Linked DNA regions of Drosophila melanogaster. The protein of the gene in region 1 interacts with the protein of each later gene in a pairwise test. Each region holds a gene or a part of one and is shown in the gene's direction. Other genes may lie near its edges.

Evidence for each region. The genes of interacting proteins can lie anywhere in the genome.
Region 2: the proteins of IM33 (region 1) and naz interact in a two-hybrid assay, tested with the Drosophila melanogaster proteins (one large-scale study listed by BioGRID).
Region 3: the proteins of IM33 (region 1) and CG5687 interact in a two-hybrid assay, tested with the Drosophila melanogaster proteins (one large-scale study listed by BioGRID).

The regions. Positions count from the first base shown.
Region 1 is NT_033779.5:3,695,661-3,698,562, reverse strand, and holds IM33 (immune induced molecule 33), read left to right. Parts: upstream 1-1,904; 5' UTR 1,905-1,964; coding exon 1,965-2,031; intron 2,032-2,091; coding exon 2,092-2,273; 3' UTR 2,274-2,345; downstream 2,346-2,902. Other genes in the region: CG3604 (uncharacterized protein), read left to right, coding at 792-1,190.
Region 2 is NT_033777.3:18,325,915-18,330,654, reverse strand, and holds the start of naz (nazgul), read left to right. Parts: upstream 1-1,712; 5' UTR 1,713-1,836; coding exon 1,837-1,934; intron 1,935-3,996; coding exon 3,997-4,649; intron 4,650-4,740.
Region 3 is NT_037436.4:1,933,105-1,940,682, reverse strand, and holds CG5687 (uncharacterized protein), read left to right. Parts: upstream 1-1,579; 5' UTR 1,580-2,089; coding exon of another isoform or gene 2,090-2,185; 5' UTR 2,186-2,242; intron 2,243-4,301; 5' UTR 4,302-4,402; coding exon 4,403-5,071; intron 5,072-5,133; coding exon 5,134-5,295; intron 5,296-5,353; coding exon 5,354-5,469; intron 5,470-5,523; coding exon 5,524-5,883; intron 5,884-5,949; coding exon 5,950-6,411; intron 6,412-6,468; coding exon 6,469-6,751; 3' UTR 6,752-7,050; downstream 7,051-7,578. Other genes in the region: CG46523 (uncharacterized protein), read left to right, coding at 2,090-2,185; Dbx, read right to left, coding at 7,235-7,578.

The DNA.
Region 1 (2,902 bases):
ACGAGATTGTTTTTAAATTGTAAATGCTAGATGAAATTATTTGTTGATGTATTTTTAAAATAATTACTTGAAATGGGTTTTTGCTAATGCGAAATATATACGTTTAATAATTAACTAATTACAAGTAAGCAGTATATCAAATGTTTATCTATAATTGGAATTAAGAAATTAAGTGCATTATTTTCCACCTATATGCGCAATTTTGAAAATTACCTAATGATTAGAATCGCAAACGAGCGATTATTAGGAACATTTCTTAACCAGACAGTTTATTCATTTCTTCTGAAGCTCCAAAGCTTACCCCATTCGTTAGATACACAAAAAACTTCAACCGACAGTTAACCAGTTTATAGGTAATTCAGTTAGATTCCCATTCCGCTCGCTAAACGTGATTTGGCTGACTAAAATTGTCACACCGATACGGAAGCCACTTGGAATATGATTTTATGGCCAGCATTATGATTGACTTGCGTTGGTGCGTTGATCTGCAATTGAAGGTTGGGCCGCGAAAGCTTCTCCGAGAGCTGTCAGTGCCAGGTGATATCGATATGGACGTGGATATAGACGTCAGAGAGGCACCGCCGTGATTTACATGCGGCGACGAATCAGTTGGACAAACAAGCTGGCGCTCCGATAAATGAAGTACACAAAAAGAGGCAAAACGGTGGGCAAAAACCCAGTTGAGTGAGTATAGTAGTACGTGAGTTAATCAGTTCGGACGGATAGTATTTAAGCCGCAATATCCGAGCGAGCCGAAATCATTCGCTCATCATCCACTCAACGGACTCGAAATGTGCTTTAGATATAGCTTCAGTTTCATAGTATTCGCGGCTGTTCTGCTCCTGGCAGCCGGAATTCGTGCAGCTCCCTCGGATGTCGTCGTGGAGAAGGCGGAGGAGCCCGCGGTGGCCAAACCCCTGCCTGATGCCAGTGAGCTCACTGTTCCGGAGGACTGTCATCAGCCCAAGGAAACCGGTCGCTGTTTCGCTCTGTTCTATCGCTACGCCTACAACGTGGATACACAATCCTGCGAGGAGTTCGTTTACGGTGGATGTGCCGGCAACAAGAACAACTTCGAATCCAAGGAGCAGTGCGAACAGGCATGTTTGGTAAAGTCTGCGGTTTCCTCCACGGACTCAACAACCGAACAAAACAGCGAAGTGGCCACAGAAACTAGCACCTCGTCTTAAAAAATTGTAGTTCTTAGTTTGTAATTTATTTGTCATCCAACTTCATCAGCCTTTTAAAAGCATTTCTTTACTGAGTTGATTATTTGAATAATTTGATTATAAATTTTAATAAATATACCATTGTGATTTATATATCTATTTCGTTTTATTCGCACATCTGGTACTAGCAGTACAGTATGTAGATACATTTGTAAGTGTCAGAAGTGGTTAGCAGTACATCTCGGAAAGTCATTAATTTCGAAACCCGACGGACTCACAAAAACTTGAGTCATGAATAGACGATTTTAATTAATCTTGGGAACTAAACAGTGTAAACAGTAATTTTGATAAAATATGACTACTTTTATAATGCACTTATATCGCAAAGATTCTGAAAACGAAATGTATAAATATATTATACAAGCAAAAGAGGAAATAAATGAAATTTGGGAAAAAATCGGACAAACCCACTTCCGAATGACAAATCGCTGCCTAATCGTGTTTACTTTATTCAGAACGTAGTTCCTAGATTTATTTGCTATTCCGGCATTATTTTCAGTACAAACACTAGCACTAGCACATAGTACTCGAAGTCTCGTCTGTTTATATACCAAATTCACGAGCACTCGTTAATGAACCGAAAGTTCATGAGCATATAGATAAGATCCCCAGCCAATATGTAGTTCCCATCTGCCGATCGGCATGGCGTATATAACCTAGTGCTACACCTCCGATTTCCATTAGTCGTTCCACGGAAGCTGGGAGATATACATAGTTTTCAAAATCGCAATCAGTATGAAATTCATTGCTGCCGTCTGTTTGATGTTCGCCCTGGTGGCTGTGGCCCTCGGCCTCAAGGATCGTAAGTTGGGAGCTGCTCAGGAAATCGAAACCATTCTAATTCACATTCTCAATCTATTAGCTATCTGTGGACTGCCCGCTGGTATTGATGGCAATGGTCTCATCAAGTGTGCCGCTTTTATACCCAGCTTCAGTTATCATCCCGAAACCAATTCGTGTGAAAAGTTCATCTACGGCGGATGCGGCGGCAATGAGAACCGATTTGGAACCCAGGAGCTCTGCGAACAAAAGTGCAAGGAATAAATTTGACCTCTATGCTCTACAAAATATTCAATAAATGATTTTCGATAAATAACTTTTTGGACGATTCTTTATAACTTACCTCATTTTACATCACATAAAGAAAAAAACAAGGTTCGTTTTGATCGCACTATCGGGCAAAGTTTAAGTTGCTGAATTAATTAAGAGACTAGAAAAAAGTACACCCAGAAAAATTGAGAATTAACCTTCGATTTCGAGACGAAAACGATCTGAATGTTGATATTTTCAGACGGAAGGGAAAGGTTGAAAAACTGAGAGAGGAAGGCAAATGAGAGCAAAGTCATTTGCAATCTGAGTATGGTGAGCATTATTCAATCTTAGCTAGATTTTGGGGTCGAAATTGTCAAATCGAGATGGTTGAAAACGGATTTTTCTCTGAGTGTCTTTTTTTTATTATATTATAGTAAAAAGAGGGGTTCCAACGAACAACTGAAACATTTAAGTGGAATTTTTAAACACTTACGAAATGGACCTATCAAATGAAATGAAATATTTTACGGAGCTTTCGCCATGGCCGTTGTAAGTATGACACTTCCCGTTGTTCCTATCGATAAGAGAACATATCCATAATTACAACACTTGTTGAGCTCATTGTATATTTCATATGATAC
Region 2 (4,740 bases), on another chromosome or scaffold:
CTGCGAACTGGAGGCGCAAAGTGCATGGAGTGCACTTTCCATAGTCCATGGCTCCCATAGGGGCTGTGAAAGCTACATACATTGCATGTGATACGACGAACTAAATTACTCGAAAAATATATATTTAGTCACTGGCATGTTTTATGGATGCGTCGTAATTGAATTGAAGTTTCAAAGGGTGAGAGGTTTGCGGTGAAATGGACCGAAAGCGAATGAATGGCATTTTCCAGCATTTTCCGTGAACAACTGATGATGGCTCTTCGCTGAGTTCTTGTCGGATAATAAATTTGGACAGCGTGTGCGCCAATGGACAAGGTAAATAAGTGTGTTCCATTCTAAGGGTTTGTATTTTTACGAATTTATGTAAGTACAAATAAAGGAGAACGCTTTTCCAGTTAGTGCGTTTACAAACACTTCAGAATTGACAGATTTTATAGTAGTATAGATTAATTCTTCTTTCTTTGTTCTGTTTAAAAAATCATCAAATAATCTAATTTTCATAATTTATAATTGACTAATTCTTTAATTATCTGAAATATTAAATAAGTTTTCTTAGTTTTAATATTAGAACACACCCATTAATTAATGTTCCACTATATCCCAAACCACTTTTCTTCATATTTTATCCCAGACAACAGCTGTTAAAGAATAATTACAATTTGTGGTTACTCAGTCTGGCGTATATAGTACACTTTTGAATAAATATAAATAAAAAAGGAATCTTCGAGGTAAAAACGCGAAAAGATTAATTGAATCACATTAGTCTGCATTGCCGCAGACAAAAATATGCAAACTGAATGCGTAAGCCGCAGAAAATGAAGGGAAAAAAATGGGATGAAAAGCGAAGTAAAAACACAAATTAAAAAATGGAAAACGTGTGTAAATAGCGAGCAGCATTTTCCGACCCTCTCACGTTCTTGTATATTGCGGCTTGTGCAAATTTGCACCTAACCTTCAGAGCCACAACGACAGGTGGCAAACTCGGAAAAATCAAACGAGGGCCAGGAAAATGAGGAGCTTGGGGGCGCCACTTTCCCTTCTCGTTCTAGCGCTCATTTCGTATGCCGCGCAACAAGCATTTATGTAAATTGAAAATATGCCGGTGACGTTTGAGGGGTCGAAAAAATAGGCGGCGATGCCGAGTGGGGTGGTCATTTAAATTCAATTGTCAACGACATCTTCTCCGCCGGCTCTGGAAATCGGAGCTCAGATGAGAGCGGGTCCACTCGCAAGCCCGCATTTAAACAGGCATCTCTCGATAGGAACAATCACTTAGAACTAACTAGCAGCCATAAATAACTATCATATTCTTAAAACGAGAATATATTATAAATCTAATCGAATACATATGCAATCATGATTATTCTAGGGTATCTCCCGTTTAAGTGGGCATGCTAGTTTCAGTTTTTGCTCTTTACTGGTCACTCAAAACCAAAACTACAGTAGGCATAAAATATCATTAAATCTTCAAAAAAGCTTAAAAAATAAATACTTAATAAATGTGATTAAGGAAATCGGATCCAGATTGAACAGCATTTCATGAGGCGTTGCATGTATTTTAAAGATTTCCACTATTCAATATTTTTGAGCACTTTCTGTAGTCCCATTTAGGAAGTGTCCACTGTAGTTACGCGTGTGTACATACATTCACTTATGCTGCACCCAGCGGGTGACCACGCAAAGAGTATTCATATTTATTACTACGGATGCCGTTCAGTTTTCGTTCAACATTTGTGTCGTGCAGACCCAGTCACAGATTCATTCATCGATTGCAGGGGAAGAAAGTGAGGCAGGACCTAACGCGCACCCAGTAGCATCCAAAGCATACACTCAAGGATGGAACGATTGCTGACCATGTTCGAGGAGGCGGATCCCTTCGCCACGTGGTGGCCCACGATAGCGGCCCTCACGGTGGGCATTGTGATTACGGTGCGGTGAGTGCGATGAGTCAACGGAAACTGTGTGATATTTTTTATTCACCCGGCCACATTCCCTACCCCATTCCTACCCTACCCCACCGCACCCTACCGTACCCCAGAAGCCCCCATTTTTTTGGGGCATAAAAACTTTCGCCTCGGACACACGTAAATAAATGTCGCAGCATCCCAGTAAAAACTTCCCCTCCGTCACCATTCGCGGAAAAGTTTTTAAGTGGATTTCATACGGAGATGGTGGAGAACTCGAGAGGAAGTGGATGAGCAGTGGTGCAGAGAAGACCCGGATAATATGTAATATCTGAAGATTATTTCCACTTTTGTTTTTTACACCCTCCGGTACTCGAGGGTTAACAGGGTGGACTTTATTCATGCGAAACAAATTGGAGATAGAACACGTAGCCAACTAAAAAACACACATGCATTAAAAAGTAAATAGAGAACATTTTTAAGGAAAGCATTTAAATTTTCTATAAATAATAAATTTATATATAGTTGGTAAAGTTAGCGTTACACTATACGGAGAATGGCTCTATATGCATACATGGATTAATACATATTCAACACAGTATTTCTTGAAAGCCCTTCTCTAATTTGAGAGTTTTGCCTAATTTGTTTTGTACAGGGTATCTGGTAGTTCAACCATTAATTTACCACGCCGCCTACTAGTTTTTGTTATTCCTGAGCACCGCGAGCATCGCGGTTTTTGTGACCCAACGCTATCTGTCGTTTCGCAGTTGCAGGTGTTAGTTTAAGCTGGGAAAGCGGAAGCGGAAATGGCAGTGACTGCAATATGGCACTCTGCACTTCCCTTGCAAGCAAGTCCCGCCCAAGCCCCTCCGCCACCTCAAAATATTTACAAAGTGGATTTGCGAAAGTTTGGCTCAAAGTAAATGAAATGCCAAATGAATTCCAAAATGAGGGATGGCATGGCAAACTTGGCTCTAAGTGCCAAAAATAAGTCGCCGCCAAATGAAGTGGAGCAAATGGAATGCGGTGAAGATTATAGAGGAAGTAGCTGACTGCAAAATGCAGAAATTAAATTGCCTTCGATTGCGGGAGAGGTGGGCTCTTAAAATTTGGATTGCAGTGAGCATTCTGTTTACAAAGCCAATTATAATAAAAATCAAGCACCTTATGTGAATATCTTTTAAAGTTTCAAAATAAGCTGCATTTGAGCTGATAGCTTACAAGCGAAATAAGTTATTACTTTCAAATGGAATTTTGTTACAAATATGCATAATATTAAACTAAATTTACAGACAAGTGGACTAACTCGCACAAAAAGTGCAATTAAACGAATTGGAAATGAATTAGAACTCAGCCATGCGAATTAATTGACTACAGCACGAATATATACTAATTAGTGAGCTTTGTACCTGTTTAGAGTTTAAAACACATTTCGCATATAGCTTTAGATAATGCCTGTGCTGCAGTAATTTCGTTTGTTTCCCAAGGCTTGAAATTAAATAAATTGACAATTATTGTTTACAGACATACGCACCGTAATTAATGGAGTCGAAAATGAGCGGCCAGAGTTAGCCAAATCGCCAAATGGCCGCAGGCAGACTTATGCAAATAGTCATGCTGATTCCATTAACGCCTATCAATAAGCCAAAATTCCGACTATATGCCTTTACCACCCCTTAACCGCCACCCTTACTACTTTGAAAAAATGTATAAGGTTTATTTTACACAAAAATATTAAAAAACATGCTATAGCTTAAAGCAAATCTATTTTAAACTAATTATGTCAATTTGAAACTTACTATACGCAAAACTGATGATGTATAACATTTTTTAAAATATCTTATATAAAAAGTTTCTTCGATTGTAAAAGCATGACTCTTTTTTTAAGATCTTTTATGAGTTTCATATAAAAAGAATCACTTTTAGTGGTAATATTTAGCTAAGTGCACACACGCAACATGAATGCAGGACATCATTAAGCTACCCATAAACCACTAGCCACACCCACTGATCCACATGCCCGCCCCTTTGCCATCCAACATTCTCCATCCTTCCAACTCCATCTAATCTGTATCCTTTACCCGCATGCCAGGACCTTAATGAGCGGCCAGCGCTGTCCGAACGATAATCAAATCAAGGAGCAAATCGTGGTGGTCACCGGCGGCAACAGCGGCATTGGCTTCGAAATAGCCCAGGCTCTGGCTGGCCGAGGTGGCCGGATAATCCTCGCCTGCCGCAATCTCGAGGCCGGGAAGCGGGCGGCGGCCATAATCAAACGTGAGCTGGGCTGCCGCACACCCCTGAATTCCTTGGATGAGGATGACAATCCGGAGGACAGGTACTTCGTGGAGGCACGCTACTTGGACCTCTGTTCGCTGCGCAGTGTCCATCACTTTGCCGGCCAGCTGATGGCGGAATTCGAGCGGATCGATGTGCTGGTGAACAATGCCGGAGTGGTATTCGCCAACACTCAGATGCCCACCGAGGATGGCTTCGAACGGCACAGCCAGGTGAACTATCTGGCCCCCTTCCTGTTGACCCACCTGCTCCTGCCACACTTGCAACGCTCGGAGCAAGGACGCATCCTCTTCGTTTCCGCCCATGCCCATCAGGGCGCCAAAATCGATTTCGACGATCCCCTGAATGTGGGCACCTGGTCGGTGAAGTTCCACGCCCGCGAAGCATTTGCCCACTCCAAGCTCTGCGTGCTCCTTGCCACCCGTTGGATGGCCAGGGAACTGAAAGGTAAGTGCACAAAGTTCGGGACCTATTCCCCGAGAGGGAACTGGGGAAGTGCACTCGAAGGAGCTGCCTTTTTGGGCTATCTCAATTGCTC
Region 3 (7,578 bases), on another chromosome or scaffold:
TGTTTTTATAAACAAGTGTTTTAGCAATGTCAACGCCCACTCTCATTAGTAAATTAATTGACTACTACGCTTTCTCCAATTCCCATACGATGGATAGAGGGAGGACGGAGGAGGGGTGCTTGATCTTGTGTAATGCCGGAATCGAATCCAAAATTCTTTTTATTGGTATTGCGTATTTTCAGTTTCGACAGCACGCAGCCAGCACGTGTGAAGATTGTCTTGTAATGTTTGAAAAACCGTTCGGATCTGATGTGATGTGATTTGATACCCACCCAACCGGACCAAAGTCCGAAAGAACCACTTGGCGGACGAGGGGCTCGACCAGTTTTGTGACGTCTTCGGCCACTTGCATCCGAGGAACAGAGTTAGCTGGATTTGCTTTGGATATGGATGGGGATGGGGATTTGGAATGGAATGGAATTGGAATGGCATGGGATGGGATCGTTTCGGGCCTAAACACCGAGACGCATTTGCCGAACTGCTTTTAACTGCTTTTCGTCGGCTGAGGTAGTTGAATGGCCAAGATTTACATGAGACTGTTAGTTAACGACATGGCGGGCATATTTAATTAATGCAACACGCTTCATGCTTAAGTGCATATCTGCCTAGCTAACTCACTGACCTTTAGAAAAATGGGCGTCGATTTGGTGACTTTCCGCTTGGGGGGAAGTACCTGCTGAATATTTGGAGACCCCCTTTCTTTTTGCCACTACATACTAGATATGTACATACATTTTACATTTATCAATTTATTGCGATTTGAACTCTTTTTGAACTGACCGGCGCCGTTTCAGTTCAAATTTAAATTCAAACTGGGAATACATTTCAATTAGAATTAAACACCCACACTGGCGCACAGGAATTGTAAACAAATAATTTTCTATTAGCGGGAGAAAGAGTGTCATTCCTGATCAAAATCGTACCAGATCGAACTCGTTATCGTTATCCAAGTAAAACACCACATAGCCAGCAATTGAGGCGAGGCGACAAGTGTACAAAAAACGAAAGATATAATCGTTTCCATTATTAATTGGCGCACTTTTTGCCTTTGTGACTCGAGTTACTTAAAAAGTAATAAAGGGTGAGACAAATGGAAATATTTACACATCACGCAATCCCAAACTGGCCAAGAACCAGCAATTAAACTTTTATGTTTGTTTACAGCGCATTTCACTTGGCTCAACTTGCCACAATTAACAATCGCCATCGAGGGATATGCAAAGGAGTTGGAAAATACCGGATATTTTCCGGCCATTCGTGGAGCGTCTTCTGCAGAATTGAAAATGAATCTTCGCATATGAATCAGAGCGTTTCAATTCCCTGAAATTAATTGATAGCAATTTAGGAAACGGTTTGGCAAACATTTATACACGATTTTCAATTAAACGTTTCCTCAAGCTTATTTTACTTATACCCATCATATTTTTATATACATTTACTTAATACCTACATACCTACCTGATTATAAGTTTCCTATCATTTTCTCAATCTACTAACCTTTTAATTTAAAGTTATATAATATTACATTAATAAACATTTAATATTTAATATCTGTTTCATTTATAGTATGAACCATAATGTCTTTGGTTTTATTTTTTAAAATAGGCTTAGTGCCCAGAGTCTGTTGAAAATAAGTTGCCTATATCTTAGCACTCCACACGACCATTGGCTGGCGATCGAGTTTCCCTCTCCGTGGAGATCGGCGATATCATATCCGGCGACGCTTCGCCTGCTCTTAGATCGATTTTCTCTCTTCTTCGCTTTTCAGACCCCAAAGAGATCTCGATGTGGTGGGGTTCCCGAAGCTGAAGCTGGGAGCCCGAGATCTGAGATCCGAGGCCTGAGATCCGAGATCTGTGATTTGCCTGCGCCGCCTTGGGTGTTGTATAAAATAGCGTAACGGCCGCTTGCAAAACTCATTCATTTAAAAATTGTCAATACGTTCGAACAGCGATCGACGACGAGCTGGGAAAAAAGGGAAACAACTAGTGCTCGAAGTGAAAAAAAAACTACGGCAAGGACTCGGCTCGAGGAACCAAATCCAAACAGTGATCAGTTTCATTTTGTGACTAACTAAGAAAACACGTTAATGAAATACAGAAACAATCGTGGCACAATATTGCAAATCCAGTTCAGAACATTTCTAAGATACAGTGCAGCAAACCTAATTCCATTTGAGAGCTAAACGAAGACGACAACCGAAGGATATCGAATTTGACGAATTGAAAAATTACTAACCAAGGTGAGAAGTTGTTCAGTTTTTCAGTGAAAGCGGCAATGCATGCCAGTGAGTTATTTCGAAATTTATCATACCGATTGTCACTGATAATTGGTAGTTGCAAAATATCTCAGAACATCAGAATAGTAAAAAGCATTAGCCCAAAGGAAATTTATTCCAATTACTCATGACTAACTAAAACTAGAGTAAAAAGTTGCGAGGGCAAAAACAATTTGTAAAATGCATTTGTCGAACAAGCTAATAAAGCTGAAAGTATTTATACCCATTCCGAAGGCATTTTAATATTTTGTCGCTTGTGTTACTTCACTCTGTTTTTTAGCTGGCTAATCTCGCCAGTTTTGAACTAGGTAATGTTTGCAGCTGTCGTGGCCGTGGAAAATCTCCTTGCTTGCGATTGGTATCTTCTGCCAACTTGTCAAGCGGACTATTTTGTTTAAATTAATTATAATAGAATAGAAGCGAGTTCGCCCAGACGAGATAAAAAAAAAGCCGAGGAAAGCAAAACAAAACACGCATATTAATTGGGCTCGAAGACGATGATGATGCCATTTAATGGAAGCGAAGGGCCTTTGGAATGGGCTGGGCGAAAGTCCACCAATTAAGCCAGACGCCTGTCCTCAACCAGAGCCCACAATTCATTTGACCCGTGTGTTCCTCCACCAAGGAAAACGGGTTTCACCCCAAACACAAATAGCCAACAAACAAATGAGCAATAAATATGATTTCGTAGTTTAGATTACTCAAATCAGAAGTTTGTAAACTTGAATAAAATATTCTACGATGAGCTAGAAACTAGAAGGAGCCTAGACCATTCCTTACTGGTATTTTCTCTCTGTGCATCTGGACATCTCTCTTGTGGTCGGGCCTTTTGCTCTTAGTTTCCGGCCTTGCCTTCGGAGACTTGGAAGCTGCTCTTCGAAGATTCGCCGAGCGATGGCGAATTTCTGGCCCAAACCGGCGCAATCCGGCTCAGTCCAATGGCCACCGATCTAAACCAGTTGAATTCGCTTAAATCTCGATTGGCGCGCTCGCACTCCCCATTTTCGCTCAAACATTGTAGCCCAATCTATTCGCCATTCAGGCCATATGGTGCATACATGTCCATGTCGCACAGGAGCAGCTTTTCTCAAATGGTTTGATTGGCCGGAAAAGTGGGCGGGGGCAGTAGAGGCGCCAGGAGGAGTGAGGAGGCGCCATGGCTTCTGGTCTCATCAAGAATAATTGTCGAGTGTTGGGGATCAATTGAATGGGGGAAGTGATTGCCATCGTTGATCAGTTGCAGAATGTGTGTTTTATGATTTAACAATTAAGAGGAGACGGAGGAGGCATGTGTAATAAATTTAAGTTACTCAAAAGATAAGGCTTGTGTAATGAATTCAAATACTTGACAATTAAAACGACAAGTAATTGCATAAATCAGCAAGGAAATTGAAATATATTAAAAAAGTTTGTTACACATCGAGTAGCATTATGCAATGAAATACATCCTAGAATTGGCGTGAAATAAAATCAAATATCTTAACAAATTCCTTACCACTTGCAAGCCGTGCGATTTCTTTTGGCCAGAAATAACCAGTTTGAATAAATCAACGACCAGTTTGAGGCAGCTTTCTGCTGGGCCTTCTTGCTCATCGCCCGTCCACTTGTAACCCCAAAAGAGCCATAACTCTGGATCTGGGAATCCGAAATCCACAATCCGAAAAAGAAATATCACCCAAAAAAAAAAAAAAAGAAGAGCGTTGCCTTGACTGCCGCCCCATGAAGAAAACATATTAATCATAAAGCAATTACGCTCAAATGGAATTGTTTGTATAAGGAAATAATGTATTTGTACTTGAACATGAGACGCTGGCCAATGGTCGATGGCCTCCCCTCCTCCGGATCCAGAGCCGCAGATCCAGATCGTTTGGTTAATTAATTAATGGGCCCCAAGATGACACCAAGTGTGACACCCACGGTGCGATGGTGCTTTGTAATGCCGCCTCGTTGCAATTCCTCTTTGCGAACCTTGATCTTGCCAGTGATCCAAGTCTAAATCGCTTCCGATCCGATCTCGTTTCAGTTTGCGCACACGTCGCCGGGTGGAAAGTCGGCTGGAGAAAGTGATCTCCCGGAAATCGCCATCCTTCGATCCCCATCCTTAGTCCTTGCTCGTGATCCAGGATGTTCGCCACCCAGGACACCATTCTGAAGTTGCTGACCCTGTGCGCCCTGGCACATTCTATAACCGCATTGGCCCTGCAGGAACGGTCTCCGACTCCAGGAGGATCTGCTCCCTTGGATTCCAGCCACAAGTACTTGATAGTGCGCGGTGAGTCGCCCAGTGAATCCCAGGAGCATGTGGAGTTCGATAATGCCGCCACCCTGCTCCTGAGAGCCTTCAAGAATCAACAGATTCCCGCATCCGCGGAGCTGGAGGAATGCAGTGCGCCCAGTCACAAGGCCACCTTCTCGGGCTACGACTACGTGATTCTGCTGGGCATGCTGGTCATCTCGCTGGGCATCGGCATCTTCTATGGCTTCTTCCAGAAGGGCGGCAGCTCGTCCAACGAGTTCCTGCTGGGCTCCGAGATGAGCATCTTCCCGGTGACACTCAGTCTCACGACCAGCTTCATCACGGCCATCGAACTGCTGGGAAATCCATCCGAGATGTACTTCCAGGGCACCCAGTTTGTGCTCATCGTAATACCCATGGTGATTGTCATTCCGGTTGCTGTGAAGATCTTCTATCCCATTTACTTTAAAATGGAGCTCACCAGCTGCTATGAGTATCTGGGCATTCGGTTTGGCAAGGAGATCAGGATTCTGGGTGCAGTGCTCTATGTCATTCAGGTGGGTTCTGGGATTTAACTCGAAAATGAATGAGATTTATATATAGACTCCTTCTCCTTCAGATGTGCTTCTACACGGCTGTGGCAGTCCTGGCACCGGCAATTGCTCTGTCTAAGGCCACGGGACTGGACACCAAAATCGCCGTGGTCCTGATCTATGTGGTCTGCGTTTTCTACTCCTCACAGGGAGGCATGAAGGCTGTAGTCATTGCCGACTCCTTCCAGGTGAGTAACGAGATGGTGGAACTCATCAATACGAGAAGATATATCTAAATCCTTTTAGGCTGCTGTCCTGGCTGTATCCTTGGTACTGATCGTGGGCTTGGGCTGCTTCTACAGTGGCAATCCCATCCAGGTCTTTCAGACTGCTTCCGATCACAATCGCTTGGAGTTCTTCAAGTGAGTTAAGCCAAATGAATCCAAGGACCTTAACAATTCTGGTTAATTCTGCAGCATGGATCCCGATCCCACAACACGTCACACCGTCTGGTCGGTGGTCATTGGTGGCTTTTTCTACTGGACCTCGCTGTTCTGCACCAACCAGGCGTCCGTTCAGAAATGCATGTCCTTGAAGTCCTTGAGGCTAGCCAAGATTGCTCTGGGCTTTGCCATTATCGGCTTAATTGTGGTCTTCCTGCTGAACTTCTACACGGGTCTGATGGTCTTCACCCACTATGCGGACTGCGATCCCTTGACTGCTGGACGCATTTCAGCCACGGATCAGTTGTTGCCCTACTACGTGATTAATACCTACGAGCATATTAGCTCCGTGGCGGGAATCTTTGTGGCTGGCATCTTTGCTGCCAGTTTGGGGTGAGCTCTTAAACTCCAGAACAGCTTATGGAAGTCTTATTCAAAGTTTTTCCTTCTCAAAAACAGCACCGTGGCCTCTGCCTTGAACTCCCTGTCCGCTGTGACCTGCGAAGATCTGCTGGTCAATGGCATGAACATCAAAATCTCTCCGGAGAAGGGAGCCACCTATGCCAAGTGGATGTCCCTGGGCTTTGGCATTGCCTCCTTCGGCTTGGTCTTCATCGTGGAGCACCTGGGAGGAGTTCTGCAGGCCACGCTTACCCTCAATGGACTGATTGGTGGTGTCACCCTCGGTCTCTTCGTGCTGGGAATCGCCTGCAAACAGGCCAATACCAAGGGCGCCTTCTACGGAGGACTCTTGTCCCTGGCCCTGGTCATATTTGTGGGCGTGGTTGCCCAAATTGTGAGCGTGGAGCAGCCCGCATTGCCCACATCCATCGACAAATGCGACTGCCATGTGAACATGACGAACATCATTGGCAGCTTGCTAACAGAACCTTTGGAAGTCATTGAGGAGGGGGGATTCACGTAAGATAACATCTTAGGTACTAGATATATATATTTTACTTAACCCAGAAATTACAGATCTTGGCCCATTTTCCGGCTGAGCTACATGTGGTACAGCATGATCGGCTGCCTACTCACCGTTTTCCTGGGCTGGTTCATTTCGCTGATCATTGACTTTATCCAGCGACGCAATGTGCTGAAGATCACCGGCAAGGACATCGACAATCCCGCCGTGTCGGAGGAGATCTTCAAGAGCGACTCCCAGGTGCAGTACACCACCACGACGGTGATTGGCGATCCGCGAGAGCTCACAAGTGACGAGGGCCATGTGAACCATGCCATTCGCATTGACGACGAATAGAACTCGAAGCCAAAACTCGAACTCTGGCGGGGATCGACGCTCCCCACCGGCCAATTCCTTGTGTAACCTCCATGTAACCTCCATGTACAAAGACCAGTCGCAATCTGTTAACTGTCCTAGTTTAGTCGAAAGAGTGATTTCTAGTTCTTAAGTCCCAGCCGAGGTTGTTGGCTCAGTATTCTGTACACACACTTACTAATGTTACTACGAAATGATTTTATGTTTAGTTCGTTTTAAGACACCTAATAAAACCTATATATACATATATATTCCTAATCAGCGTTGATTGCTGAAATGTCAAGTGATCTTTGCATTAGTATTGGCATTATGATTTTCAAAGGAGTTTATTTCGTTTTGGAATTTAAATTCGAAAAAATATCATACACATATTAAATACAATAAGTTGAATGCATCAATAAATTTACAATTAAAACATATATGTACACGGACCGTTGCAGCTCCATCTTCGCCTCCAGTCGCAAATCACGTCACGCTGATCTCCTCGTCACTGTCCGAGTTGGAGTCGTCGTAGTCATCGTAGTAGAGTTTCATGAACTCGGAGCCACCTTGGTGCTGCTGCTGCGCATGCTGCTGCTGTGCGTGCTGCTGCTGTTGCTGTTGCTGCTGCTGCTGGTGATGATGATGCAGTTGCGCAGCCGCGGCTGCGGCGGCCAGCTCTACCTCCCGCATGGCACTGAAGTGTGGGGAGTGATGCAGCTGCTGCTGCAGTTGCTCGAACCGGCGCTGCTTGGCCTCTTGGATACTGTTCTCCAGCTTGAATTTCAGATCGGCGGCCACCAGCTGCTTCTGCATCTCGGCATTGATCT